4 linked regions of the Struthio camelus genome follow. The protein of the gene in region 4 purifies or fractionates together with the protein of the main gene of each other region. This does not show direct contact. Links are inferred from orthologs where the notes say so. Each region holds a gene or a part of one and is shown on either strand. Other genes may lie near its edges. The genes, in order: EXOC3, EXOC8, EXOC6 and EXOC1.

Region 1 (7,177 bases), on a different chromosome or scaffold from region 4:
ACACAAAATGCTGAACAGGCAAAGTTGCTGGCAATAGAAACAGACCTGTCCTTTCATGCTTCACTAGCTACTCATGGAAGACAGGAACGATCCCAATCACTGAAAATGCAAGAACATGCTATGCATAGAACTCCACAAGATATGAACATATCTGGAGTTCCTGGTTCCTTCCAGATGGTAAGAAACATTTTATATCTTGATTCCTGGAATCAAATAGGATGCTTCCAGGTTCTGCTCTGTTACTATGACAATCATATTCCGTCAAATCCATATTCTTCCTTGACATTAAAAACTTTCAAGGCACAGTGCATTAGTATATTCAGTAGATCACTTAAACTCTACATCTGTAATATCCTGACTCCACATGGAAGGCAGGAAATACTATATCACATTCTCCAACATCAGCACAATCTAGATGAGACAACAGAGGTAATGAGTATGTGTGTGGAAAACATTTAAGAACCACTTTTTTCAGATGGTCTTAACTGAAATCCTTATCCTAATTTAATACCTTTCCTGGTTAATATTTGGTGATCATACACAGGCTATATTCAAGAATTTTAAAAAAGACAGATTATACATTAAATTAACACATTAACAAATGTTAAATTAACACATAACCTTTGTATAGCACTTTTAATCCACTAATCAAGTCATTTTTACCTTTATGTTTCATAAGTACAACTTTTCATGCCAGCACCCTTAAACAGAAAAGGTTTAATTTCCATCAGGAAATTCTGGAAGAATAAGCTGTGTTAAAGACAAAAATGAACTATCAGCTTTATTACACGAAAGACAGTATGAAGAAACCGATCAATTTTCTGTGAGGAAGACTCACTAATCTGATTCCCTCTTCGCTGTTTTCAGCAAATGTAAGTTATTGATTTGTAATGCCGCCTTAAGATCTTCTGCATCAGCAACAGCTTACCAACTTAATTTGAGATCTGATGAAGAACCATACAGGGTGCACAGAACTGTGGAATTAACGCAAGTCTTACCCTAATAATGCCATGCTAGCAGCTATATTCCTCCACTACTACTGCACAGCATGGGGCCTTCTAACCATTGTAGGCCTAGGCATTGATATTACATAACCTGACACATAAGGTCTAAATCATCAGTCTAGAAAAAGTAGAGAAACTTGCAGGCAACGGCAAACATTTTGAATAAGTACTGCTGTAAAATTTGTTAAGGTCTCAGGAAGGAGAAAGAAGGAAATTTTAAAACATCAGTTTGATCTACAGTTAATTACATTTTAAATGCAGAATAAAGACCACGTTACTGTAAAGATATTATGTGTCACAGAACTAAAATTGTTTTAGAGTCTCGATTACATTTCACATCAACCTGCATAGACTTCTGTTTGAATTAATGGTTAACTTCCTGGTTTTACAGCATTTATTCTTGGATAACGTAACATCTCAGTAATAAAAAGCTTTCACATTAATATGGAGCATAAGTAACCTCTATTTTTCCTGCATTATAATAGTTTTAGCTTTATTAGAATTAGCTATTTTAGAACTTTGCAGGGTTAAGAAAGATTTCAGGTACAGTTAACCCAAAAGCTAGTCTATTTCTTTCTCAAGTTTGACTTTTTTATGATCAGCCTTCAAAAATTACATGTCTAAAGAGTGTTTATAACAGAATTACTTTTGCAGTATAAACTCATACCCTACTTTACCCCCTCAGCTTCGCAAACATACCCATCACTTCTCTGCTAATAACCCATTTACCCTAAATTAAGTTTGATTTCCTACTCCACATTTCAGAATAGAGGATCTACTCCTACCACTCACACTTTGTAACAAATACCCTATTTCTGTTTAGCTCAATCCACTCCTAAGCTGTCACAAACATATCTACAATCAAAAAAACCTGTTATTTTTAAATATGGACTTACTACAGAAACAGCATCTATGGCAGATAGTTTTATGCTGAATTACTTCCTTTATTAACAAATCTGGATACACTCAATATAATTATACTCTAACTCACAGAGCCACTATCCTGGTCTATTAAGTATGTCCCACAAAGAAAGTTAGAAGCCAGTATGCCGTAACACCCTAAGCTTAGGTAATCACACCTAAGCTGGTATGATTGCATACCAGCTTGCTAAGGTACACAGGTTGTACAACTGCTACCTATTCATATAAGAGCAAACGTTAAGAAACAATGCCAACCTTTACAACCTTCTGGCTACGAGCCAGAACCACACACATCCTCAGAGCTATGTGCTGGAACGAGACACAAAGACAGACAGACAAACAGGAAGGAAGAAAGCAAGCAAGCAATCTTGGAAAAGCTTCAGTAGCAAGCATACCCTCATCCCCTCATCCTCTGCACCGAGGTTCCAACTGTGAAACCAAGAAGCCAGCGAGCAATACCACCAGTTCCCAGGGGAGCGCCTGCGCCCCGGCGCGAGCCTCCCCACCACGCAGCTTCCCCTCCTAACACGGCACACAGGAAACGGCGGCGACCCCCGGCCCAGCCCCGTTCCCTATCGGGGCCGCGCAACCCGAGTCATCGGCATCGACGAAGGTGCCCGCTGCTGCTAGGCAAAGGCCGGAGACCTGCCCCGAGCGCGCAGGCCAGGCTGCGGACCCGCCATGGTCGCGCCCCTTCTGCCTCGGCGGAGGCCCGCGGACAGGGCTCCTGCGCCACAGCGCGCAGGAGGAGCCCTCAGCCCCTCTTCGGCCCCATGATCCCGAGAGGCTTCCCGGATCGCTCAGCTCGGCCCGGCCCCCCTCCACTTCCCGTTCCAGACTCGAGCAAAAGCTCGGGTCACTACAAACAGCGATAGCCTAGCAGGAGCCGACACCGCAGCGCTCACCGGCTGGGGCTTTGGCGCAGGGCCAGGGGTGGGAGAGCAGGAGCCCCAAACACTACTTACGGGCTCCAGCCTACTCCCCAGCAGGGCAGTGACAGTCACGCAGCGCGCAAGCGCCACGGTCACCCAGGGGCACAAGACCCGGCGCGCAAGCGCAGAAGAAAGCTCATCGCTTACCCACGACTAGTGGCTAGTGCGCATGCGGGCTAGACTTACCATTTCACCTGTTAGGGCAGCGGTCTGCGCCTGCGCGGGCTCGGAAATGGGGCGGGAAGGGGATGTTCATGCTTCTAAAAAGTCTACTCTAGGAGGGAGGTACCGCCTCTGGCTCTGTAGTGACGGTGGAGTGGCTTGCCTTGTTCTCGCTAAGTAGCCTCAGTCTGGTGTGGAGGCGGTTGTGTAAACGCGTATGGGTAGACTATTAAGGGATGCAACCTAGCTGGCGGGAGCGAGGGGACGCCGGCTGCTCCCTTATGGGGAGGGGGGCTTCGGTAGCCTGCGGGGCTGCAGGCCGCACCTCCCCCTCTTCCTCAAGCTTTGATTGTTTTTGCAGTCTTTCAGTTTTGAGGTGGCTGTTAATATTTTGGGACCTTAAGTCAAGGTTTTCAGAGTCTGTGAAAAAAAGATGTAGAAGCTTTGTCAGGTATTTAACGTTTCAGTTAAAATGGTAATATGTTGCTACAAAAGCAATAGGTCTTAGGTATCAGCTACCTAAGAACCTGGGAACCACGTGATACCTTTCAGCTCTATCTACAAGTGACTTTGCCCAGCAGAAAAAAAGAGAAAGTCATCATTCGATTATTTTTCTTAGCTGTATCTCTTCATATTTTACACAGAGGCCAGGTGGTTGTTATTTTGCCAAGAAGGGTTGTGTTTAAGAAGCGTTACTTCATTGCTGGGATACAGCTAGCTATGCCCTCCTGTGGCTCTTTGTATAACTCTGCTGTGTACATGTTTCCTAGCAACAGTGCGTTTAAGAGGCTCATGGAAACTATATCCTTAAAGATTTATTTCCTGCTAAGAGAAAAGTACGTTGCTTGAAAAAACAGCCAAACAAAAAAAAAAATCCTTGGGAGCAGTTACAAAATCAGAGCTTCACTGGTGGTGAGAGACTGGGGCAAATGAGGTGCCTTCGGGGTGCGAGGTTGTTAGCTGGGTTTGTGTAAGGGTTGCCATAGCAGCTGAGCAGGCCACGTGCACCCAGCAAGGCATCCCATCTGGGGGTGAGCAAGTGCCTCACCTAGCACTCTGTGCCCAAAGCTTTGCTTTGGACCTGCAGCGCTCTTAACAAGAGGGACCTTAACCTCTCCCTCAAAGGGTGAGTTCCCACCTCCAGAAATTTGAGTGGTCAGAGAAAAATGATAGTTGTGGAATTAAAGGTTTGTTAATGGGCAAACTTGAATGGGTTTTTATTATTCTGTAGATTGCCAGCTAAAGCTGTTTGGAAAATGATACTGGTTTGCTAGATCTTCTCCTTTTAAATTACCAAAAGTAGATAGAGGAAATGTTTTTTTTTTCCTCACTAATATATCATATGGGATGCTATAATGGGCATAAAAATACTGAAGATGTGGTTGGTCCTTGCAGTGTTACATTGTCCAGTTGTTTGTTTTCTGTACTGTTAATTTAGGTTATTTTATGTGGTGCTGGAGATGGAGGAGCCAGTGGGAGGTGAAACTGAACTAGAGGGAAGAGTTAAGCCTAGTTCTTCTCCTTATCACTTTGCACAGCGGGAATCAGAAGAAGAACCGAAAGAAACACAGCTTTCTTCCAAACCTGACATTGGTCTCTGTCCACCTCTCATTGCTATAAAAAAAGGTAAGGGAGGAAATATTGGCAAACACTTCATGTACGCTTTATAGGGAAATAACTTTTTCAAGGATAAAATGAGAAACTGATTATTAAGTACAATGTTTGAATTTATAACAGATGCCCATAAATGCTAGGCATATATATTTTGCATAGAGCCATTTTTCTGGAACTAAATTGAATAGTACTCTAAGAAAAGAATAATGGGGATTTCCTTAGCAAATAACTAGCTTATTCCTGAGCTTGTTGCATTTGTCGTAAAAGCTAGAACAATGTTAATGGGTTAGCATTCAAATAAAACTGCTGATTGTGTGGCATTTGGTATGGCATCTCTCTTTTGGGATATATTAACAGTGACAGTAGTTTTCAATAGCATACTCGGAGGAGACTTCATTTCAAAACAGACACAATCTACAAGAAAATTTATAAGGATGTTATTAGAATATTAATTTTAGTCACAATCTTATTATTTATGTTTTAGAATAGATTAAGCAATAGTTCCAATTAGCTCCAATTAAGCAATTAGTGAGTCACTAATTATCACTATTGCATGCTCTGTTGAAGATATTACTCGCTTCAAGGGATAGGACCTAAATATCATCATCTGAGAAATAAATTGGTTGCTTTTCTTGGAAAAGACCAAGCTGTAGTAATTAAAAATAGTATTCTTGGTGCCTTTCAATTAAATATTTTTAAAGACAACAAATACAATATTTCTGTTAAGGACAGATAAATCAATATTTAGGAATGCTTTGGTAATTAAAAGTAAATTAAAGGAGAGAGCTGGACAAAAAATGAATAAGGTGGCAGGCTGCAGAAAAGTGCTTGTACTAAGTATCAGGACAACATTAATAGTTTTATATGTTACTAAAACCACTTTAAAATATACAAATCATAATTTCTAGAAAAAAATAAAGGCATACAATAAATTGTTGATTAAATAAATCAAAGGGCTTCAAAAGCTCTTAAGGAGATTTAAGTGATCAGCAATGGATAGTTACACACGCTAATGATAAGTGTACTGTTTTCATGGCAAATATTAGCAGTCCCTATAAATCCTGGTTATCAGTCTTCTGCATCTCTGGCAGACTTGCTACTTGCAGATGCTTTTTAACAACTTGAGCGCATGGAATATCTGAAGAATAAAGAAGCAACAGCTGAGGAATAACTGAGAGACAATAGCAAGAATGGAAAGTGGCAATATTTCAAAGAGCCTGTGATTTTTTTCCAGAACTGACTTCTGCAAGCTAGTCCTTTAAATTGCTTTTTCTTACCTCTGCTATTATCAGTGGGGATTCCTTGCAAATTAAACTTGAGATAAAAACCATCATGAGACATTTTTTCTTATAGAGGCTTCTAAGAGTTTCTGCTGAGGCATAGTTTTTCTAGCTGTCCTTTCATGTCTAACTTTTCCTAGCCTGAGAAAAAAGGTTAGCCAGCAGATGTTAAGACAGAATGTGGTAACTTTTCCAACATCATTGCAGGTCTTGTAAATGCATTTATTGCACATATACCTGAATAAGAATAATTATAACTGGTCACTTCTTTGTCCTAGACGCGGAAAGTAAGCACCATAGGCGTAGAGGTGTCTTGAAGACAAGGAGCACTGAGCTAGGATCTGCTGTCACAGGATCACCTCTGACTGGTGCTCTTCTGGCAAGTGTTTTCATTCCAAAATGGTGGTTACTCAACTGCTTCGGTCTGTTAAATTTTCTTCTTTACAGGTTATTCTTGAAGTCTTCTTTGGCTGGCAGAACTTGACCCAGGACTGAAGGGTGCTGAGTTCAATTAATATCTTGTTAATTTCAAGGAACAAGAGCAATGAACTACTCAAAAGTGCATACGATCTTAGGCCCTTTACTTCTTGTGCTTACAATGTTATTTTGAGGGTCATCTACTGGTTAATCCCCTTTCTTTGCCAAGGTGAAAATGAATATTGGTTAAGAATATTTGAATAAGGTTATGTCTGCATCATCACATGGGAATATCTCACCTCATTTTGAATTAGTTAGCTTAATTTGTGAAATTGGTTTTGCCCAATCAATCTAGAGCTCTGAACAGGCCACTTTCACTAACGTAATTCAGATGGTGAAAATACATTCTCTTTCTGAATCTATTCATGATCTATGCACAGATGTTAGTTTAGTTTATGCCGTATCGATCTCACAATTTTCCTGCAAAATACAATTTTTAAATTACATACATAATTCGCTAGTGAGGTGAGATGATATCTGACGTCTGATATGTATAGGCTGTGAAAACAGTAAAGTATATTTAAAAAAATAGAAGCTTTTCTGTAACACTATCAGAATATTACACTTTTTTTTTTAAATCTCAGACACTATTTAGGTTATCTTAAATTATGTTTGGTCATCTAATACTGTCACTGTGACAAAGTGTCAGTGATAGTGAGACAGTACAGAGGAAACAACAGGCATTTGACATCTAGTATCTTTACTAAGACAGAAGAAAAAAATTGCTATCAAAGATACAGTAAAAGCCATATTTTTATGCTTACAGCCATTAGGTCTCTAAAAGGCA
Region 2 (7,623 bases), on a different chromosome or scaffold from region 4:
GTTTTCATCACTGCAGGTTTTGATTGCAAGTTTTCAGCTTCAGGAAGGTTGCAGTTAGACTTCCAAGTTTTTCAGGGATCCAGAAAAGATTTAGTTCATATTTAATGTACAACATTTTCTGTAAGCGCTCTCACACACTGTTCATGAGAACAGTTACTTGACTTCACACCACAGAGGTGGTACTTTCTGGATTTACACGCATCAGTCTTGAAGCATTTCTCAGATCCTGTAGCTGCTTGGCTGGCTTTCCCACTCCTTCCTCAAATCTTTTTTCCACAACAGGAAGGACAGTTTCATAAAGGAAGGATGCATTCTGCCTAATGAATGCTTTCTTCTCAGGGTCCTGTTCACACCGTAAACTGTAATCAACGTGCTGCACAGCCACGAGGATGATTTCCACCAGACTCTCCAAAAGAACCATATGCAGCTCTGGAAAGTAAAGCTTTAACGCTTCCTCCAAGAAGGCCATAGTCTGCTTAGTGAAAGCTACCACAGTATAGCTAAGGTTGACCCAGCAGTCATCACCAGTGTATTGGTCAAAATTGCCTACCCCGCAGCTTCTCATCTCCTCTCTGAGTTTTCCCAGAGCCTCTGGGGTCATTAGGTTCATCCTTCTCCACATCTCTTCAGAGTTGCGATGCTTGGTGGCCTCAATGATGATATCCTTATAGCTCTGCAAAGCACCTTTGATATCCTTTACCAGAAGGGCATGAATGATGAAGGTAAGATCCAGTCCAATCTCACTGAGCTGCTTGCAGTGCTCTTTAGCTACCTTGGGTATTAATGAAAAGTGAAGTGTGTTATCAGTTTGCATTCCCCCTTTACATTTTAAAAGTTTACCAAATTTTTCATTCTCAGAAAACCGGGAACCGTTAGTTATGTTTTACATGTTTCTCCTACCCTAAGAAACTCCTTTTTAATGGGAAATCAGTAACTGAAAGACAAACCTTGCCTGTCAAAAATGCCACAGACAACTACATTAGAAACCTTTTTTTCTTCCTATTAGCAGCTGAAAGATACCATAACCTGAGAAATTAAGGACTTCTTGAAGTCCTTGAAAAAAATTAAGGAAATATAGTCCAGTACAGGCTTGGAAAACACAAGTGTTCACAGTACTCACTGTTCAGATAAACTGTGTAAATTTAAGGATCTCCTACCAGACAAAGGCAAATTAAGAGTGAACACAGGTTTTCTCTTGCTCTGTACTTTATTAGTCTTAAATGCTTTTTTTTTTGGTTAAATTTAAAAAAAGCGCCAAACAAACACCAAATGAATGATCTTAACTCGTCAATGCAGGAAACTTTTTCAAGCAACATGCTCAAAGTCCGAGTCCACAACTGAGCTAGGGTTAGAAACGGGGGGTTACAAGCTTTCCCCCTTTTGCTTAGTCCACCATGCCACACCACCTTCCTTTCACTCTTACCTTTACACACTCTGCTGCAGTAGACAAGCTCTCTTTACTGTCGAATACCTGCTTACTGAAGGCATCTACAAACATCCTCATGGAAGAACGGGCCCACACAACGAAGGCAGAGTAGCAGCCATTGTTGCCAGCGAAGTCCGTTTCAAACTCTCTTGCTGTCTCTAGGAGGCTGGTGAAAAAGACATGGCAGAGTTTGTGGATGTAGAGCAGCGTGGCACCTTCGATGCGCAGCTGTCGGATGGCCGTATGCACAGCAGCCGCACGGTTCTTCAGGAAGAGCTCGCATGCCTTGGTGGACTGGCCCAAGCGAATGAGCTGGGATACAGCCCGGCGGGTGGCCCGTGGCCCTCCTCGCAGCGAGCGGTCCGGAGACAGCTCAAAGACCAGCACATCCGTGAGCTGCCGGACCCGCTCGTCCACCTTGGCCCGCAGCTCCTTCACAGGCTGGCTCACAGGCTTGTCCCCCAGGTACTCGTTAAGTTTATCCAAGAGGTCCACCGCCCCCTCAAAGTCCCGCTGAGCGATGCAGACGTCCAGGTCCTCAGGCAGCTCCTGGATCCACTCAAGGGAGAGGTCGACCATCTCCTCCTCGGCAGGGGGCTCCTCGTCCTCCTCGTCATCCTCCTCGAAGGGGTTAGTAGATTCGGGGGGTGTCGGGGCAGGCCGGGGCAAGGCCTCCTGCTCCAGGCGGCGCTTCTCGCTGAGGGCCCGGTTGCGCTTGGTCTCCTCCAGCACCTCCAGCCACTCCTTCTTGATCTTGGCGTTCTCGGCCTGGAAGATGCGGCTCTCAGGGAACATAAGCAGCTTGAACATGTCCTTCATGGGCGGGTTGTCCTTGACATTGACCACGGCCAGCCCGTCGAGGGGGTACAGGGCGTCATAGCGGTAGGCGCCGCGGCGGTTGGGCAGGGCCGTGGCCACGAGCAGGCAGTCGTTCATGAGGAAGGCGTGCACCCGCTGGATCTGCGCCATGTGGTCGGCGTCGTACTCCAGCAGGTCGCCGTTGTACACCAGGTACTTGCCGGGGCTCTCGGGCAGCAGGTCGCGGCAGCCCTCCACCTTCTCCAGGAGGGTGGTGAGGGTGCGCTGCCGCCCCTCCTCGCTGGCCGCCGCCTCCTTGGCCGAGAGGGGCAGGAAGGGGTCGGCGGCGGCGGCGCGGCGGGCGCCCAGGGCGGGGTCGTCGCGGTCGGCCTGGAGGAGCAGGGCCTGGGTGACGGCCTCCATGATGCCCTTCTGCTCGGTGAGGATGTGGCTGAGCTGGTACATCTCGCTCTCCAGGTAGCTGATCTCGCGCGCCGTCTCGATGAACTGCCGGTAGTTCTGGTAGACGTTGCGCTTCAGGCTCTGCGCCGTCTCCTCGCTCAGCGCCTGGATGCGCTGCCGGTGCTCCTGCAGGTCCCGGTCGCCGTCCGACTGCTGCGACAGCTGCTTCACGTACTCCGCCGCCACGAAACCGCCCGACTCCAGCTGCCGCCGCAGCCGGCTCCCGCCGCCCTCGCCCAGCGACAGCGCCATCGCTACCGCCACGGCGGCGAGGCCGCCCCGCCGCGCCGCCCCGCCACCAGCCCCGCGGCGCGGCGTCCGCCCTGCCGCCGCCGCCGCCGCCGCCGGGGAGACCGCTGCTGCGCCTGCGCACAGCGGCACGTACGCCGCCTGCGCCAGCATCGCCGCGCCGCCGCGCACGCGCGCTCGGCTCTGCTCGGCTCGGCTCGGAGCGACGCGAGGCGAGGCGCAGACGCAGGCGTAGAGCGGAAGCGCCCTCAGCCCTCGCGAGCGTGCGCACAGGGAAGGAGGAGTCGCGCGCCGGGAAGGAGGAGTCCCGCGCCGGGCCCGGCTTGTGCGCATGCGCGCAGCCGGGAGCAGCAGCGCTAGTGGGCGCGCCGTTAGGGCGAGCGCATGCGTAGTCGGAGCGGGGCGGCGGCGGCGGCGGCGGCGGCGCGTCGTTTGTGGCGCAAGGAGTGTGCGTCGGGGCTGGAGCTCTTTTGGTGTGTGCGTGCGCAGTGGCTGGGTGCCTCCTGGGCTGCGGCGGCGGCGGCGGTTGGGCGGCGGTTGAGCAGCTCGGGCGGTGACGCTGGCGTCGGTGCCGTTCAGGATGGAGGAGGAGGATGACTTCGTGCTGGCGCTGCAGCTCCAGGAGCTGTGGGAAGCGGAGGACAAGGAGGCGGCGGCGGCCGCCGCTGCGTGCCCTGAGGCCTCGTTAGACTCCTCGCTGCTTCGCCCGCTCTCGGTGGTGGACGAGGCCTGGGAGCTGCTGGACCCCAGCCCCGACGTGCACGGCCTCTTCGTGCAGTTCAACGAGGCGCTCTTCTGGGGGCGCCTGACGGCGGTGGAGGTGTCGTGGAGCCCGCGTATGACCCTGTACGGTAACGGCTGGGGGAGGCGGTTGTAGGGGTGGGGCTGTTTCGTCTGCCTGTTGGTTTTGAGGGTGGCCCTGTGTGGGGAGGAGAGCGCAGGCTCTCGGTCGCGTCCGTGTGAGTGCGCCCTGCCCCTCCTCGCTCCCGGCCCTGACGGAAAGCGGCCAGCAACGAGGCAGAGCCCTCGCTTGTGCGGGGAGCCGAAGTACTCGGGGGGCGCCCAGAAAAGGGCGCGAAGCGGCGGGGCCGGGAAGCCGGTCCTTCCTGAGCCCCTAGAGCAGCCATGGTGAAGCGCTTTCACTAGCGTCAGTTTTCCCACTGGCAGAGACTTAGGCTGTCATGAGTGAGCTGCGATGCTTTTCGTGAACAGTCCAAGCAGTTCTTAATTGCTGTGTCTGAGCCTTTGGAAAAGGTTGTGACTGATCAAGCAAACAATAATTCATCTCACGATACAGTCTTAGACTTTTGGGGAAAGGAGGAAAACCGACCTGTCGCTTGTCACTATATGCTGTTACTAACTATGTCTTAGTAGACTACACTTACCAGTTCCACAGCTTAAATTCTAGGTATTGGAGTTTCCTGTTTTTTCTAACATAGGTTGTACCTCTGCCCAGGATGTGGATCTGTCACAGTTGGTATCTATTTTGTCCTTCATTTGTAAGCTTGGGCAACCATAAATGGCTTTCTCAGTGTGCAGACAAAACTGTTATAGTGGAATAAATAAATTGGTCTTAAATTGTGTATTTGAAAACTTACTTAAACATATTTATATTGGTGAGTTTTTTTGTTGCTATTTTGAATTTCTTTTATAGTTTTACAGCATAGTAGAAAGGCAAATGTGAATAAATGCATAAGAGCATGTTAACAAGATTTAGAGTAGACTTAAAAAAAAAAAAAGATAAAAGCAGGTTGCAGTTCTGCAGCAGATCAGCTAATACAGTTGCAGGATGTTGGAGTCCCTCCCCCTCCTTGTCCTTTGCTGATTGCAGTGCTCTTTGCACATTTGGAAATATTTGAGTATATTGTGCTTACAGAAAACTAATGCAACAACAGCAAAATGTTTTCTGCTGTATTACTGTGCTGAAGTGACCATGTAAAAGTCCAGTAAGAGGCAGAACTGTGCAGCTGTGCAGGGGAGAGTGTGCAGCTGAGGGTTGAACTGCAGCAACCAGCAGCTAGGTCAGTGTTGGCTGCTGTGAAAGAGCAGCCTCTGTTTTATGTTTTTCACTCCATCTGGAGTCTGAATGAGAACGCTAATTTACCTCATGAACAAATGAGCTTGGAGCATTCTACTGTGATTTTTCAGGATTGTTAGCTTTGAATTAAGTGATTGTAAGACATCTAATAAATTACAGTTGAGCTTCTAGTAGCGCAAACAGCTTATTCTGAAGAATTTGCTTGTTTTTTGTTGGTTAATGAACTTGAGTTCTTCGAGTAGCTTCTAACAGTCTTTCATATTCTAAATTATTTAGCATGTATTGGAAGAGGCAAGCATTTTAACTCTTGATTTTCAATTTTCTTCATATATTACAGAATCAAGTAACTTATATTTTGTTTCTGCATCTCTTTCAGCTGTGCAGGAGTATGTAGCTATGAAGGAAAAGGTGGAATGTGTTCCATTCGTCTAAGTGAGCCACTTCTGAAGTTAAGACCAAGGAAGGATCTTGTTGAGGTATTTGAAGATTGTTCATTAATCTGTACATAAAATGTATTAACCCCTTCCCTGCACACACATTTTACATTTTATTATGGCGTTCTTATGAGCAGTGACTTATAGATTACAAAATAGCGGTGGCTTTATTGCTATGTTTGTGTTGCTTTTATGGGCAATTCTATAGTATTCTCAGTTGTATGTTTCTAAATGGAAAACTCTTGAATGGGAGTCTACAGTCACTTGTTTATTTTACTCACTTTATAAAGGGGGAAAAGACTTCTTTTTAGCTCCAAAGCTATCCTACGATATCAAAACCACAAATACACCCAGAAAGTTTGAGAAAATGCTTTAGTTTCGCCTTTTAGGTTAAAAGGCCATTAACAGAAAATAGGGCTATGGGTTATGACTGTGAACATACCTTTGCATTGCTTTTCGTGCCTCTGCCAGATCTGCTTATATGAGTTGCCTCAACATTTGGATTTGCTTAGTGAATGGAAGTGCTGCAGAGTTTCTGCGTTCTTCTCAAAAGTCTCTTTTGTTTGGTGGTGAGGAGGGGGTGATCTTCTTGAAGATCTGACGTTGAGTTTGGGGATTATTTCTACCTCTTTGGAGAATCAAATGTTAAAATAACATTCTTTAGCATGTTTAGGTTGTGTGGAAATAGCTGATTTGATTTGGCAGGTAGAATAAGCGTTATGTTTTTATAACCGAGATTGAACAAGTGTACGCGTGAGAGTAAGGTACCACGCAAAGAGTACCAAGATTAATGTAGAGTAGCATAAATTAAAAAGTGCTTGCAGCTTAATTTAGAAATTGTATGCAATGCCTTTCCGTAAATAGCTGATGATTAGCCTTGTTTCAGACACTGTTACATGAAATGATCCATGCCCTGCTGTTTGTTACTAATAATGACAAAGATCGTGAATCTCATGGGCCAGAGTTCCGCAAACACATGCGTCGCATTAATCGCTTAACTGGAGCCAATGTCACGGTAAGCACAATCCACTTAATGTTGTGTAATACAACTTTTTCCCTGTTTTAGTACCATGTGTTTGAATAGTCCAAATGTGGTATGATTAATACACCTGTATTTCTTAGTAGACACCAATACAAATTTACATTGGACTGCTTGCCAGTTCAGTAGTTATTTTGTTGGTGATGGTGAAGGGAACGTGTTGAGGAAGATGTGGAGGGTTGTTAGACTCATGTAATTATCATATACACCTTCTGAAAGTATTTTCCTTTCAAGTTTGTTTTAAACTTGAAGTACAGAAGTTCAGAATAATCTGTTTCAGTTAAGATTTGTCTCAATAGGAGCTAATGGGTGATTGAACATGGCATTTAAAATTCATGTCTCTGACGATCAATTAAGATGATGAAGTGAGAATTTATTTTGTTATGCTGTTATACTGCTCTTTCAGTTTGATTTTCAAAATCCTTATATTGTCTACAGTGCATTCTAAATAGCACATAACGTGAAAGTCATGAAGAGATTAAAAACAGGATGGTGGAGAGATGGAGAAGCTATTTCTCACAGTAGTGGTAGAAAAAACAATTGTCCAGGAGGGGGATAAGCTTTGGAACAATGCAAGTGCTTCTCACATTACAGACCATTTATCAGACTTCAGGTTTGTTACTATAATAAATTATGTTTATTTTGGGAGGAAGATGACACTTTGAGAAGGGCTTTTTGTAGTGTGTCAGTTTATCACCAGACGGACAATTTTTTTCCTTCCTGGCATGCAGGAGGACTTTAGCTTGTATTACAAAGGAATGGAGCACTATTACATTTTAAAGAAATGTGGAGCTAGTGATTAATCTCCTGACTTATAAAATTATACATTTTCTGAATTACTGGCTTTTTTCTTTTTTAACTTAGATTTATCATAATTTTCATGATGAAGTGGATTTATATCGCCAGCATTGGTGGCGATGCAACGGCCCCTGTCAATACAGAAAACCTTATTTTGGATATGTGAAACGTTCGATGAACAGAGCACCCTCTGCACGAGACTTTTGGTGGGTGGAGCATCAAGAGACATGTGGAGGTACATTTACAAAAGTGAAGGAACCAGAAAACTTTTCCAAGAAAGCCAAAGAGAAAACCCAGCCAGCAAAACTGTCAAATTCCAAGTCAACTGACAAAGGTATTCGACATAGTTCTTCTTTTCCAAGCTGTTCTTGTCCAAAAT
Region 3 (7,188 bases), on a different chromosome or scaffold from region 4:
CCCTTATTTCCTGCCTCCGGGCTCTGCCCTGCTCTCCTCAGCTCAGGCCGGGGGGCACTAACGTCTTTCTCTCTGACAGGAAAGGTTAAGTAAAACCGTTTTGGTGTGTCAGCCAGTAGGGGAAAAAAAAAGAATTAGAGAGGAAAAAAAGGTATATGTACACACACACACACACACACATATATAATCACTGAAATTGTGGTGTTTTGAGAACGCTCCGACCAGCCGCCAGATGCCCAGGGCAGGGGACGCGGCCCGGCGCAGGAGGCCTCAGGCGAGCCTGCGCCCCTCCGCACCGCCCCGGCAGCCCAGAGCCGACCCTCCGCCCGCGCCGGCTCGCCCCGGGGCTCGGCTCCGGCCCGCTCCGCCGCCGCGGCAGCTCCTCCTCCGCGGGGGAGCCCCACGCCGAGCCCGACGGCCCGGCCCGGCCCCGCTCCGCCGAGGGGCCGCCGCAGCCGGGCGCGCTGACACCGTCCACCGCGGGGCGGCCCGGGCCCGGGCGCGGCGCCCCCGCAGGCGCGGGCGGCCCCGGCGGTGTCTCCGGGGAGGAGCTGTCAGCGCGGCTGCCGGGCCGCGGCGGCTCCGCGGGCCGGGCCGGGCCGGGCAAGGCAGGGCAAGGCAGGGCAGGGCGGGCCGCGGCATGGCGCGGCGGGGGGGAAGGGGGGGAGCCTGCGCGGCCGCGGCGCCCCGCGCCCTCACCTCAGGGTGGGTCCCACGCAGGCCGTGTCGGTGCTCTCGATCTCCTGCAGGATCCGATCATGCTCGGGCAGACTCTCCGCCATCTTGGATGGGAGGGACCCGGCGGCCGCGCCGCGGCGGGAGGCGCCGGGGCGGGACCGAGGGCGGAGGGAGGCGGCGGGGAGGGCCGGGCCGGCCGCGCCGAGGTGAGGTGAGGAGCAGGAGCGGGAGCGGGAGCGGGAGCGGGGCAGGCGGGGGAGAGGCAGGTGGATCGGGGCCGCGCCCGCCCCGGCCGGAGCCCGGCGATGGCCTTCAGCCCGCGGCGGCCTCTCCGCCGGCCCGGGCAGCGGGGACCGGCTGTCCCGGGCTGCCGCCGCGGCAGGGGGAGCCGCAGCACCCCGGGCGCTGCCCTGCACGGGCGGCTGCGCCGTCCTCGCGGTGCTGTTTTAGAGCAGCCCGTCAAGGCCGAGGGGGCTAGAAGGGGCTTTTTTTTTTTCTTTTTTCGGTGGGCTACTTGTGGGTCGTTCCTTGGGCTCGCCCGGAGCGAGGCGGCAGGTGCAGCGCCGCCAGCCCCGAGTGCTAGTACCAGGCCTAGTGCTAGGCCTTCCCCCCCCCCCCATTGTTATGATTATTCAGTTTAGACCAGCTACCTCTTCTCTGTCTTCGGCAGACAGGACTGGGGGGGCTGGGGCGCAGGTAAGCCGTGCTGCGGGAGCGCACCGTTTTGCGTAAGCATCGCCCTGCGTTGCTTCCCCAGCTTATCCGGTTCACTAGAAACTTGCATATTGTTTCCTGCATTGCTGTAGCTTGTCTTCGGCTGTCCTTGCGCGCGTGCACAATGGGGTTCCATTTTTCAATGAAGAAGGAATAACTCGTTTTCTATTTAAATTATACACTTTGTGGTTTGTGGCTTAAGATGAGCTAGTCCTTGGGTTTTGCATGTTCAGGAGACAGGATACACCTGCTTTCAGGGCAAAGTTAGCTGTGCACAACTGGGAAGCCAGCGTAAAGAGATAGGCCTTTAGCATGAAACTTCAGAGTGGTGTCTGGCTACTTTTCCCAAGAAAAACTGACAGAAGTTTACAGCTATATATGCACGTAGGTCTAGACAGCAGCGAGCTACAATAACGTTTAGCATCCTTCCAGTTATTGCAACCAAACTTACCGTATCTCCTGCCCTGGTGCAGCTACGCTTGGACGCTAAGTTAATAAATGGCGCTTAAGACTAGGTACATCTTGTCTGTGCTTGTAGTTTTATCATATTTGCTGTTGATTCAGCTGAATTTATTGATGGCACCTACTGAAACAGCAGGGAGTATTCCAAATGTAGACAAGTGCCTACAAAGTGTGTACTGCAGAAAGAAAATAGGAAAAATCCTACAGGCTCTCTCTGCAGTAGTGTTTCCTTCAAGAAATCACTCAACTGCAGTAACAATTTTCCCACGTCCTTTTTTTTCTTCTTTTTTTTTTTTTTTTTTTTTGCGTCACCAAATTACTTTAGTAGACTGACGCATACATTTTTCAGGGTAAATTAAATTTACTTTCTTTAGCCTGGTAGTCACTGCAACCCGATTCCTACAATCCCAGGCAGGCTATTTTTAAATCTTTTCTACAGATACTAACAATATACTTAGGCTCATAACATCATAATCTTTTATATGTTACTTCTGTAGGGATGAATATCCAAAGGATTTTTTTCAGTTGCGCTTCTACCATTAAACTATTTCCATAAGCTGTAAATTAAATCATATTAAAATCTTCAGATATTTAGGGATATCCCTAAGTTAAACTTTACTCCGAGTAGCTGTGCCTTTAGAGAGAAGGTTGCATTCAGTAAAAATACAAAAATTAGAAGCAATTAATTATTCTTAAAAAATGTAGTTGTCAACCTCAAACTAAAAGCACTCTGTTACACAAAAGTGATTTTTCCCTTGTTTTCATGTTTAAATGTAATTTCTTTCTTCAGAGAGAACGTGCAGCCCGCCTTCACTAACAGCTTTGTCCTGATAAAAAGAAAGAGTTGAGTTGAGTCTTCAGTTTATACTTTTTGATTTAGGGCCAATCGCATTGGAATCAAATACAACTTTCCTGTAGATGTCAGTGTCAAGATAATCAACTTTCTAATACATTGGGCTGACTGCAAGAACAGCTATAGAATGGAGCAAATCCATCATGAACGATATAATATGATCTAAACGATGCATACCTTAGCGTGGTTCCCAGAGGCAGCTCAAAGGACTGGATCTCAGCAAGGGCATTTTCGTATATCTGATCTTTGTTGTCTTCTAGATACAACTCTGACATATTTGACTTGCTTTTCCTCGCCATAGATGAGCATAAAAACTAGTCTAACTTTAGGAGAGGACTTTTATTCTGATTATTATCGTTGACTGAGTGACTGCAGTCAGCAAAACCAGGCATGAAAAAACAGATCCTGCGCTAACCTCGTGACTCTTGAGGACTTTGTGTCCAAGAATGGTGCACAGCTGCTGTTTTCCTGTCTCCGCTAGTAACATTTGCCTCGTACGCAGTACCCAGGCCTGTACGGTCTTTGTGTGTGTGTGTGTATTCCGTTTATCTGAATATGAAACTTACTGGCAAAAATAGTATTTCTACATCCTCACAGTAGTTCACAAGTAATAAGCACAAAGCCTGAAATATAGTCAATTTGAAAACACAATTTTAAAGTCATTTCAGACACTGGCCCACAATGCTCACTCTGTCTGTCAAGTTTTGTGAGGTTAAAATCATGTTTTTATAGAAGATTGAATTTTTCCTTTTGCTGTGTAAAAAGCCTGTACAAACAAGTAATTGGCGGCTTTTATGAAGCAGGTTTATGGACTTTATAAAGTAAGCTGAAAAAAAGCACGGCAACTTTTATGTTCTCACCTTTTTCATTTTTAGCATTAGTAGATGCTATTTATAGTAACAGCTTGTAAAGAATGCTCTAGGATAACTGATTTTTACATGGCTGTGTTCCCCTATGCAGTAAACAGTTACTCATTTATTACGTGCGTTGCATTCCTGCAGGGAAAAGAATGAGGATGGACTCCTACAACGTTCAGAGCAATGCTGATATCAGATAATTATGATAATGGCAAAAATTTCAAGTAGTTATTTGGAACAAAGGCTGGAGTTTTAGATCCTTCAATTTAGAAAACTTATTGGAAGTCTAATATCAGCCTTCTTTATTATATGGCACAGTCAGTCTTACGATACGTGTCTATTTTTGATTTTTCAAAGATTTTAATGAAAATGTAGCTCTTATCTCAGCACCGCTCCCGATGAAATTAATATGAGTTTTGACACTCATGGTGCAGTCAACAGTTAAATGCAGGAAAACAGAAATTACTGGTTCCGGACTTGGGCAATATATTGTTTATTCACTTCTCTGTGCCCAGCAGGAATACTGAGACAAGTTTACCTCAGAAAGTGCTCTAAAGGGTGCAATGTGTTACATGCATCCAAATTTGTAAAGTCTTCCCTTGAATAAGCGTCTTTAATCATCTGTTTATTTTGAAGCCAAAATTAAGCAATTGTTCTGTTAGCATGAATATTCAGCGGATTTACTGCTTTTGTGTTCTAAACAGCGCTGTGAGCTATTTTTACACCTTTAGCAAGAAATGCATGCCTGTGATTGACCCATCCAGCCACTGGATGTCACACAAATGCAGATGAAAGGATATCTTAACTACCCGTTCTCATCTTGACAGATGCTAGGTTAAGTATTAATTACTAATTATGTGAGGCTCCTGTAAAAGTAAATTTAATAACTGCAAAAAATATTGCACTGATTGGCATTGGTTTCTAATTTATGAACTCGTTTGTCCTAGCTCTGTCAGTCATACTACACTTCTGATTTAAAGTTAAAAAGTTCTGAACGATCATCCCACTACAACTTCCTCTGGATTCACCCCTTTCTTACCAAACTTGTCGCTGCATATACATGCTAGATGGATAGTTTTAGAAGGCTCCTTGCAATCATCTTGTCTTCACAGCTTTACAGCAGCTTCACTGCGGGTTATTGCTCACCTGAGGTAAAGCTGCTAATTACTGATGAATGAATTTCCTGTATTTGATACAATCAACATACATTAAACACAAAAAATAACAGCTTGCTGCAGCAGCGTCTTACCACAGTCTGGGCCGTAGATTTACTCTAAAGCGCTACACAGAAGCTATTGGCCCTCTTCTGAAAAGCACAGTGTGGGGCCGCAACACTCACCTTTTGGCACCTAATTTATTTATTTGATCAGGCGCTCTCCGTTCTGCCCATAGTCAAAGGGGAAAGACAGGGTCCTCCACAGAGCGATGTAGATCACCTACCTTAACCTCTGCTCTACACCTTGCTCCACCAGAGCCTGCTCGTCTCCGAGATGTCTGTTTTGATCCCATTGCCTTCAACACAAGCTGCAAGTGGCCAAGATTGGATTGTTTCCCCCAAGGGGCACTAGAATTGATCAACTTTGCTGATACATACACGTCGTTATTTTGCAAAGCTTGGTTAACTAAATAACGACGTGTACGTATCAGCAAAGTTGATCAATTCTAGTGCCCCTTGGGGGCATCTTACTCTTATATTGGATGTCCTGGAAAGAAGCACAGTCCTTGGATGCTAAGAATGTTTGGCATTTATCTGCGCATACCAAAAGTTATTTTTAGGCAAGATTTTGAATAATTTCTATTAATTTCAAAAACAGACTTGTAAGCATTTTATTCTTCCAAATAACATGGCTATCAATAAGATATGTCTACCCACTTTTATTTGGATGAACACTTGTTTATTTTCTTTTGCAGTGGCTCATGATAACATGGCCCATGATAGAAGAAAGTGCATCTGCTGTCGCTGTGGCTGAGCACAGGCGAGCTAGATAAATCGGAGATGCCTTGGGCATCACACACAGTGACTTGCAAGAAAAAACGTGATGCAGCGATGGGAGCATGAAGCCATATAAAGAGTGCTCTTGTGATTGTTTTTTGGGGGGATTTTAAGTGAGTTTGATACTTACAGAGGCTTTGGATGTAGTTTCTTCTATCCCAAAATCTTACACACAAGCTTACTTTAGAAATAAATAAACTAAAAAAAACCAGTGCTTTAATTTGTTGTACAGATGTTGTTGCAGGTATCCCAGCTGCCTGCAAATAAGTAAGCTTAGTAACAAAACAAAACAATGTAAAAAGGGGCGAACAAATACAAAAATGAATCACCAAGAAATATGCAAATCTGATTGGTTGTGGAACTGGATATCAGAGGTACATGGCTTCCCTTTCCCTTTGGGTGCACAGAGTTAGAGTGAACTGCACCTGAACTGGCCGTCTGGCGCGCCAGAGTGGTTTGCACCCGCCTTGAAATTGTTCGGAGGCTCCAGTTGCTGTAGGATCACGAGGTGGTGGATCTGTATCTGCTCAAGGATCCACGGGCTAGGGTCCATTATGGCCGATAACGCGCAAAGCTCTTTTTGCTGCAGGAGATTTTGCTTCTTCCCTGTGCTGTCTTGTCCAGCCTGTTCTGCTTCTCCATCTCCATCTTCTGCTGCTCCCCTCCTGTGCTTATTATACATGCCCAAAGTCTGTGTCTTTCAGTCATACATAAGCTTTACCTTTTTCCAGGTGAGTTCAGGGTCACTCTCAAGAGCCTTTAGGAAACTGCCTTGTCCAAGGAAGAAAACTTTTCTGAGAAATAAAAGAAGAAAAATGCTGTATTATGACACGGCACAATCTTTTAGTAGGGTGGTGTATCTGAACTGCACATCTATGCATAACCTGTTCAGTTATTTTGCCTGTACATTGTCAGCAAAGAATTACTACGATAAGTACTTAATAGTTGATTAATTTCTCTCTTTTTATTTTATTTTTGAAAAATGTACAAGATCCACTAAGCTGAAAGGGAGAGTAGGAATAATCATTTCTGAGGCTTGATATTGTACTGGTTGAAACCCAACTTAATCAAGAAGCCTGAGAAGGTATTAATCTGCTACAAGTCCTTGACTGGAAAAGGGCAGAATTTTTCTAGGCTTGTTAAATTCCAGCGATTCCTGTGAAGGAGATATTTCATTGCCTACAGCCTGCACAGCCAGAAACCCTCAGGGCCTGTGAGCTGTACAAATCGCAGCTGAAATCTCTCCAATCATCCTGAGATTTTCCTGGGCAAAAATATGCCCAGGCCAGTCAGGAGCTAAGGAAAATTGAGGCAAATAAAAACAAGATTGTGATGCAGGATGCAGAGGCTTATCCAGAGCAAAACCGCTTTCTCCACATCCTTTCTCTCTTTCCTTCCCCTCCAAGATCTGCTCTTCCTCCACCCCAAACTGTCTCGTGACTGGGGATACAGAAGGCCAAAAACTCCTGTTCCAATATTTCCACTAACATAGCCTCTGAGGTTTAAATCTAGCATGTCTGGGGTAATGCTTTAAAAATACGGTTTACTGATGTGACAATTACAAAAAGAGTAGTATGTACCATAATATAGAGTCATGCCTGCTGGGTGTATAATTCCAGCGTAGATTACTT
Region 4 (7,669 bases):
TATCAAACACACTGTGTATTGCTAGGCTGATCTGATTGCACTGTAGAAAGTCTGTGTCCTGAGGTGCGGCAGACTCACTTTGTGGTTAGTATCGCACAGCTGGGGCACATGAGAGAGAGAATATGCTAAATTTTAAATAGAAAAAACTGACAGGCTAGATAGCCAATCTTTGAATTGATTTATCTTTCAAAATTGTTTTCTACATCACATTTCCTGATTTTGGTTATACAGTGTAGTTTGAAAAACAGTATTTTGGGATTCATCTGCTTCTTCTGGAAGACTTCTCCAAAACTGAATAGGGAGAAACTTATAGGAGAGTAAAGGATAATCAGAAATGCTTTTGTAGCATTCCTATAAAAGGTGTCAACTAAATGATGGAGTGCATTCTTACTCAAGACTCTATGTAGACTACATTCAGAATACAGGAATTGCTATCTGCCCTATCTGTGCTCCAGAGAAAAGGAAAAATCTAGCAGCCTGAAAGTAAAGAAGCGTGATAATGAACAAAGACGACTTTTATGCATACTTGGATAAGAGGCAGAGAGAGAAGAGAATCTCTCATAAAAGATGGATGATGCTTTTTGTCCTAAGAAGTATCCTGTATTTTAACTTTTAAACCAGTATCAGAAATAAGAACAGGTGGAAAGAAAAAGGATTTAGGAATATTTTGTTTGTAATACTTACTGATATCATATACATCTCCTTTTTTCTGTACTTAAATGATTCATAAATTTCCTGCAGCTCTGTACTACAAAGAGCACTTAATATCAACATTTAGAGAAGATGGTGCCAAATCAACAAAAAATACACTGGTGATATTACACTGGTATTCATGGATGCAAGATAACATTGCACCAGCTAAGAGCCTCGAGCTTATATTTAAAACAGAAGAATTCTCTTCCTGTATGTTTATCTTTCATTGATAACTAATCTTTTCCTACATTCTATATAAAGAAAATATGGAAAATGAACAGTTACTTCTCATTAAGGCTGGAACTTATGCTTCTGTTCCCTCCTGCCCCCAATCCACAGGTCTAAAACCAGGAAAGCTCAGTCCTGGATCAAAGCAGACTTTTTAAAGCCATTTCTGAAGGGAAACAGACCAGGGCCTGCTCCAGACTGACTTCTCTGTTACTTCAAGTTCTTGTTCTCCTTTGCATACCGGAGTCACACATATACTGACTCATCTCATCCCAAGTATGCCACTACTCTCCTCATACTACTTCTTTCTCTGTCACCTGCCTATTCCCCAATACTTTCAGTTAGTTTCACAGTATAACTGTTGTATCTTCTCCCAGTAAAATGGGAGTGTATCATGTAATTTGTAATATGTAATTTTGGAATATTTTTTCACAAGTTAAGGCTCATATTGGAAGATCGAATCTATGGGAAGCTGAAATAGGAGGAGAGAGAGAATGGCACTGTGCATACTGTAAAATGATCTCATAATGACTGTTTTAACAAGTATAACCACATTTTAGCATTAACCAACTAAATCTTGCTTTTTGCACTGAAGCAGAATGAACAGCTAAAGACAGAAAACAAGGAGGGTTTTGGACTGTTAACAGTAAAAGCTTTATGCAAACCTATCCAATCCTTTATGGCTGCTTTGTCTAGTCTTTATAGATCCAGGCAAAGACAGTTTCATTTTGTGGGTGAACTGAAAAATTACCAAACTGTAACTTCTCTCTTAACCTTGGCCCTCATGAATGATATATTACAGAAGAAGTCTACAGCATGCTGTTTTGTAAGTCAGAAAATAAAAGTACATGCAGCAAGACTGTATTGGTCAGTAACATTTAATGTTTTCAGTCAAGCGGGAAGCTAATAGAATAATGATGAGATCACCATTTTATCTGTTAAAAATCCACATGTATTGGCAACTTAACTATTATAACTTGGAAAATATATTTACTGTTGCTTTGTATTGGTAATGGCCTGGCTAATAGATTTTATCAATCATACCTTAAAGCCACAGTGATGCATTAACGTGACATAAATCATATAGTTCAAGTAATCTGTAATGTTTTCAGTCTTCTCTTAACTCTGCCCGCAGGCCTTCAAAAAAATAGTATATTAATTTATATGAATAATGATAAAAATGAATGAGGTATATTGATCATGTGAAGAACCTCCTTCACAGCAATAATTGAGCTATAAGGTGGTTTCCCACTGAATGCAACGGTGGCTACAAGTAGCTAAGCCCGGTTTTGGGCATCATTTCTCATGGTTATATTCCAAATGCTAGATGTCACAATTAGTCACAGAGTAACTTTTCCCTCTGACTTATCACTGGCATCAAAAACTCTGAATTACTAATGGCACTTTGGGATCGGGGGAGAGCCAAAATATGAGTGCTTTTCATAGAAGAAGTGATATCAATCCTAATGCTGTGGCCAAATTAGAGTTATAATTGTTCCCTTGCAGCTGCAATCAGATATAAAATTCTTTGTCACTTGAAATTCTGAAATACTGCCATGTTACAATGTTAAGAAACTTCCTTCAGTACCAGATATATCTGCATTTCTTTTATGTACACTGTAAAGGTCACACCTTTTTTTGAAATTGAAAATGCATAGCTCCATTAATGGTTAAATTCTCAGGCATTGTGTATGACAGGCAACAAAAAGTGCAGAGTATTAATTACTTAAACTTCATGACTTCATTTTAAAAGTGTTAGGTCATACTAAGCATTTTAAAGACTGTACTGTTTTTTTAGATCTCCACAGAGAAGTTGCGAAATATTCATTTAATGTATCATACACCTAAAAATCCATTTGTGATAAGAACAGTTTAATCAGTTTAAAAAAATGGAGGAGGGAAAGCAGTAAATATGGAACACAGTTGTACCGACTGATTACTTCCTGAAAAGCTGTGGAGAAGGATCCAGACATGCTTAGATCTTACCATCTCAAATACCTTCTGTTTACATTTAAAATTGCATTTAGGATTCAGTGTTATGAAAGTTCATCCCATTTCCAAGAATTTTTCAGTAGAAATCCACCCACAGTTTTAAGAGAAAGAGAAGCAATTCTTGAGTTCTGGCTAGCCTCTAAATTCTATCTATGATAATAAATTAGTGAGCCATTTTTAGTAGATATAATTTTCAAACATTTTAGTTGAAACCTCCTCCACTAGTTTGAGAAGTGCTATGAGAGAGGAGAAGAGCAACTAACTCCCATCCTGTTCCTGCAAGTCAACTGCTGGGGGAAGGGAGATGCTTCATGGTATCTGTAGACAGAGATCCTTGATAAGTCTTCTCTAGCTCATCACAAATTACTACAGGTAATCAGCAAGAAGCAACTATTTAGATAGCAGGTCTCAAAACAATCTGTCCAGAGAGTTGCTAGACAGGGATCTGAGAAAACACTGACCTGTAACAAAGAACGTGCTACTTGTATTTAACCTAATTCATTGATAACATAAACTAGGGTAAGGCTATTCCAAGATGCAACAAGGGTAAGAGGATACATGAAGCGAGGGTTGACAGTCCATGCTAGATATAATAAAGCTAATGTGAATGGAAAGAATAACATCTAGGAGCCTTTTTCCTCCCCTAAAAACATTTATCTCCTAAAAGATGTAGAACTTCTTAATAACTCTGCCACGAGGCCAACTGATGACAAAAGAGACATCAGAAACTAGCTGACATTGTATCAGTTTTGCTTTTGGTGCCATCCATGTTATTTCTCCCAAGATACTACTTAACTATTCAGCTACAAACTCTTTGGGGGACAAGAGTTCAGCCTTCATACTTGCATGTAAAACACCTATCACAGTTAGTAACACAGAGAGATTATGTCTGCATTATTTTTGTTGCTACTTTATGACTTGCAATTACCACAGACAGCTATGTTTTACAAAACAGCTGGCCGAACCTAACAGCTCACTGCTGCTGGAGGGGGCACCTTCCCCCTAGCTCTTCAGCCTCCCAGGAAGCTTTTCAGGTTCTGCTCTCATGAGCTGAAGTAACTCACCTCAGAAGCAGGCACAAACCACCTCAGGGAGATACACCTGGGAACACGGGGAAGGAAGCAGGACCACCTTTTTGCAAGGCAACGAGACACCAGAGAAACACAGGGGCCTCGTGAGAACCTGCCCAACCATTTCCCCTGCCAGAGAGTGGCTACGGAGCTAGAGGGGTTCACCTCAGGCTTAGACATTTAGAGGGCACCCAGGCAACGCCTAAAAGCCACCACGCGATTACAGCCTCAGCCTAGCAATGCCACCTACCCGCTCACTAGGCTTTTATAGCCTAGGCCGGCTGAGCACCGCCCCCGCCAAGCCCCGCCGCGCCACACGCCGCTCCCGCGGGCACCGCCTGAGGAAGGAAGGGGACACGCCCTAACGGCCGCCGCCGGCCCCGCCCTCGCCAGCCCCGCCCCTGGCGCTGCCCGCCCTCCTACTGGCTCGCCCGCCCCTCCCTCTTTCGTTGCCCGCCCCCTTCCCCCCGGCGCCCGGGTGCGTTGCATAACTTCTCCGGTAGGGGGCGCGCGCGCGCACTCGGCCTGGCGCTCTGTGGACTTTCTAGCGTGTAGTCTCGCTGCTAGGCTGGGGGGGGGGGGGGCGGTGCTAGGGTCACGTGAGCGGAGGGGGCCGCGGCGGCGCAGCTCGGCGGCCGTTGGGGGCAGAGCGCGGCGGGGGTGGGGAGGGTCGCGGCCGGAGCCGGAGCCGGAGCCGGAGCCGCCGCGTCCTGAGGCGGAGGCGCTTCCCTTCCCGTCTGGCCCGGCCCGGGGTTTGCGGTGAGAGCGAGGCGGCTCCGGGCGGCTGCTGCCGCTCCTGTTCCCGGAGCGGCACCGACATCCTCTGCCCCTTCCCCCTCGCTAGGTGTGAGGGGCCTGCTCCGGTCCCCGGCGGCCGTGTCCGGGCTGCGGGCGCGGGTGGGGCCGTACCGGAGCGGCGGGCGGGCCGGGGCTGCGCCTGTCTGCCGCCAGCGGCCGCGCAGGGGGTCCGCGTCTCTGCCCGGGGCCCTTTCAGCAAGGCTCGCAGGTGGGAGGCGGCGGGGCTGGTGTCGGACGGGCGGTTTCCAGCCGCGGCTGCGATAAGTGACCCTCCTGAGCGTTCCTCTTACACGAGTGGTCTTTTGTTTGACCGTTGGCTGTGAACGAGCTTCCCCGGAATTTTACAGTTAGGCCGCGCTCTTACATTAGGTTATTACCTGATACGATATACGAGTGTTAAGAGTTTCCTGGTTGCACACGTAGAGAGGCCAAGCAGTGCACATTAAGTAGCCTGGCTGAGTTGCTCTGTTGAATCTCTCCTATATATTTCCTGTCTGTGAGATGATGTCTTTGATAGATTTCATGCAGAAGAGGCTTTAGCATTACCGTATTGAAAAGATTATTCCAGCAATCCCACAAGGGACTTATTGGAGCCTGAATTGGGCTCAGCTCTCTCAAAGCGTTTTTCTGAGGAAGTAGCTTTGTCTCCAGCTTCTTGTATCTACTTCTGTGCTCTGGGATGGCAAGGGTTGTAAGTCATGGATGAAGACTGCAGTAATGTACTTGGTCCTGACTCACAGTGAAGGTTTTGGGGCTGTGACTCAGTGTTGAACTAGTAACAGAAGTTGGACTATATGTCAAGTATCTGATCTTGGGATTGATGTCTCCTCTTTTATAGGAAAGGTGTATTCTGCACAGCTGAGAAACTTTGCTTTAGCAAAAATGTGAGGATCAGTGAGTAGCAGCAGTCAGTCTGAATGTGGTTTAGAGCAATAGGTGAAGTCCTGACCAGAAGAGAAAGGTGATATTTCCAAAATTAGCAGGCTGTTGGTACCTTGTGTGTTCATCTTACACATCTGTTGAAGAATAACTGAAATGACAACCTGAAGCAATTTTGGAAGAAGCTGGACCAAGCATTTGAAAGGAGAGGAAAGGTGTTAGAAAGCCGTTAACGGTGGAATATTACAGTGCCGTAGAGATGTCATATAAACAGCATTTTTCTTGAATATCCTGAACTCTTGAGTGCTTAGCAGTACTGATTTCAGCTTGGTATATTGGCCCTTTTCCCCCAAAGCACTTGGGTTACTAATTGTTAAAATTTATCTTGGACTTATTCCAAAAATAGTTGGACTTCTATCTATATTATGCATGTCTAGATTATGATTCATTAAATTACCTGTAAAATGTATTTTTTAAAAACTGTAGTTGCTATACCTAAACGTATGTTCTTATTGTATGTTTTAGTAGCCTCCTCAGTCTACTTGAATGTAGTATGAATTTTTGAAATTTTTCAGCTGGGAGAAAATGACTGCAATCAAGCATGCTTTACAAAGGGATATTTTCACTCCCAATGATGAACGCCTGTTGAGCATTGTGAATGTATGCAAAGCAGGCAAAAAGAAGAGAAACTGCTTTTTATGTGCCACGGGTATGTCGTAATACCACATGATATTTTTGTTTTCACCCTTTTTATTCACTTGCTTTTTTCTTAGCTTTATGTACAATATTTATTCTCGCTCCTTATAAAACAGATGCTTCCATTTTTAATGGAAAAATTAGTTGTAGCTTATATCTGTTATTGCTTCTATTAAAACAGAAACAAAACCCTTTGCTTTTACTCTCAGATCTTATTGTAACTTGCAAGGAAGGAATCAAAATTATTTGTGTTGGACTGGGTGGGCTTGTGAAGCAGGCCTTGTATGGTGCTTAAAAGGAGATTTAGTAGATCTCTAGACTGATCAGCCTAAACATGATGCAGCAAGGAGTGCTGGTTAGAGTCCAAGACAGAGGGATCTGGAAAGGCACAGGATTTTAACTGAGTCCTAATGTTCCTTTGAGAGCACGTCCTTTATATTACACCTCTTCCAAGAAGGTGCTTTTGTCCAACTTATCAGTAAATTAGCTGACTGGATTTTTTTTTTTTTTATGACGAATCTCAGAAAGCATTTTTAATCAGGCTAGAATCTCCATTGACTTCTTTGTTCCCTCAGTGATGTGGCAGTGCGGCCATAGTTCTGCTGCACCAAAGAAATAGGCATAAATTGGCTTCAGGACTTGAGAAGCTGTGCAGAGCTGCACATCTGGATGACTGAAATTTAAACTGAGCTGTGGGTATTGAGGATGAAACTTGTTTCGAGGGCTCTGTTCTCATCAGATATAAAATAAGCTTAAGTATAGCAGAAACAGATGTTAATGTAGTTTGAGTGTTTCAAAATTGCTCTTATACTTCATTTAACAGTGACAACGGAACGTCCAGTGCAAGTAAACGTGGTAAAAGTGAAAAAGTCTGACAAGGGAGATTTCTACAAAAGACAGACTGCGTGGGCGCTTCGAGATCTTGCTGTGGTTGATGCCAAAGATGCTGTTAAAGTATGTGTAACTTCTTTTAGTGCGAACTCTACTTGGGACACTTTTACTTCCAAGTCAGAGCTAACTTGGCTATTCATTGTCATACAGCTTTGACTGATAATGTGTTAATTTGGGTTTAAGATGATACATGTTTATTGTATTTTCTTCCAGCCTTCCCAAGAATATAACCCTAGTAAACTGAGTCTGAGTAGTGCAGGTATGCTTGAATTGAAATATTCTGAATATCTTCCCAGTTTACTGTGAGCGTCTCTTAGGTTCTGTATAGTACTTGTGCTAAGAACCAGTACTTTTTTTCTGGTTCAAGTCCTGTGTAAATTTTGATTCAAAAGTTTAGTTTCCCTTGAAATGAGTCATGGCCA

What was found.
Region 1: the proteins of EXOC1 (region 4) and EXOC3 purify together in Homo sapiens (affinity purification with mass spectrometry; 5 studies listed by BioGRID and IntAct, counting the BioPlex papers as one, with this or other methods). This does not show direct contact. The link is inferred for Struthio camelus from reciprocal best matches to the Homo sapiens genes EXOC1 and EXOC3.
Region 2: the proteins of EXOC1 (region 4) and EXOC8 purify together in Homo sapiens (affinity purification with mass spectrometry; 3 studies listed by BioGRID and IntAct, counting the BioPlex papers as one, with this or other methods). This does not show direct contact. The link is inferred for Struthio camelus from reciprocal best matches to the Homo sapiens genes EXOC1 and EXOC8.
Region 3: the proteins of EXOC1 (region 4) and EXOC6 purify together in Homo sapiens (affinity purification with mass spectrometry; 4 studies listed by BioGRID and IntAct, counting the BioPlex papers as one, with this or other methods). This does not show direct contact. The link is inferred for Struthio camelus from reciprocal best matches to the Homo sapiens genes EXOC1 and EXOC6.

What each region holds. Positions count from the first base shown.
Region 1 is NC_090943.1:75,388,947-75,396,123, reverse strand, and holds the start of EXOC3 (exocyst complex component 3), read right to left. Parts: upstream 3,016-7,177; 5' UTR 2,891-3,015; exon of another isoform or gene 2,831-2,890; intron 2,719-2,830; exon of another isoform or gene 2,321-2,718; intron 751-2,320; exon of another isoform or gene 664-750; intron 1-663. Other genes in the region: dynein axonemal heavy chain 5, read left to right, coding at 3,256-3,470, 4,458-4,645, 6,192-6,292. UniProt on the Homo sapiens protein: Component of the exocyst complex involved in the docking of exocytic vesicles with fusion sites on the plasma membrane.
Region 2 is NC_090944.1:91,124,658-91,132,280, reverse strand, and holds the start of EXOC8 (exocyst complex component 8), read right to left. Parts: upstream 3,001-7,623; 5' UTR 2,939-3,000; coding exon 1,424-2,938; intron 773-1,423; coding exon 164-772; 3' UTR 1-163. Other genes in the region: DNA-dependent metalloprotease SPRTN, read left to right, coding at 3,516-3,781, 5,350-5,449, 6,294-6,422, 7,311-7,578. UniProt on the Homo sapiens protein: Component of the exocyst complex involved in the docking of exocytic vesicles with fusion sites on the plasma membrane.
Region 3 is NC_090948.1:19,088,726-19,095,913, reverse strand, and holds the start of EXOC6 (exocyst complex component 6), read right to left. Parts: upstream 3,016-7,188; 5' UTR 3,007-3,015; coding exon 2,885-3,006; intron 857-2,884; exon of another isoform or gene 783-856; coding exon of another isoform or gene 700-782; intron 1-699. UniProt on the Homo sapiens protein: Component of the exocyst complex involved in the docking of exocytic vesicles with fusion sites on the plasma membrane.
Region 4 is NC_090945.1:56,369,976-56,377,644, reverse strand, and holds the start of EXOC1 (exocyst complex component 1), read left to right. Parts: upstream 1-4,651; 5' UTR 4,652-4,742; exon of another isoform or gene 4,743-4,989; intron 4,990-6,235; 5' UTR 6,236-6,245; coding exon 6,246-6,369; intron 6,370-7,179; coding exon 7,180-7,310; intron 7,311-7,669.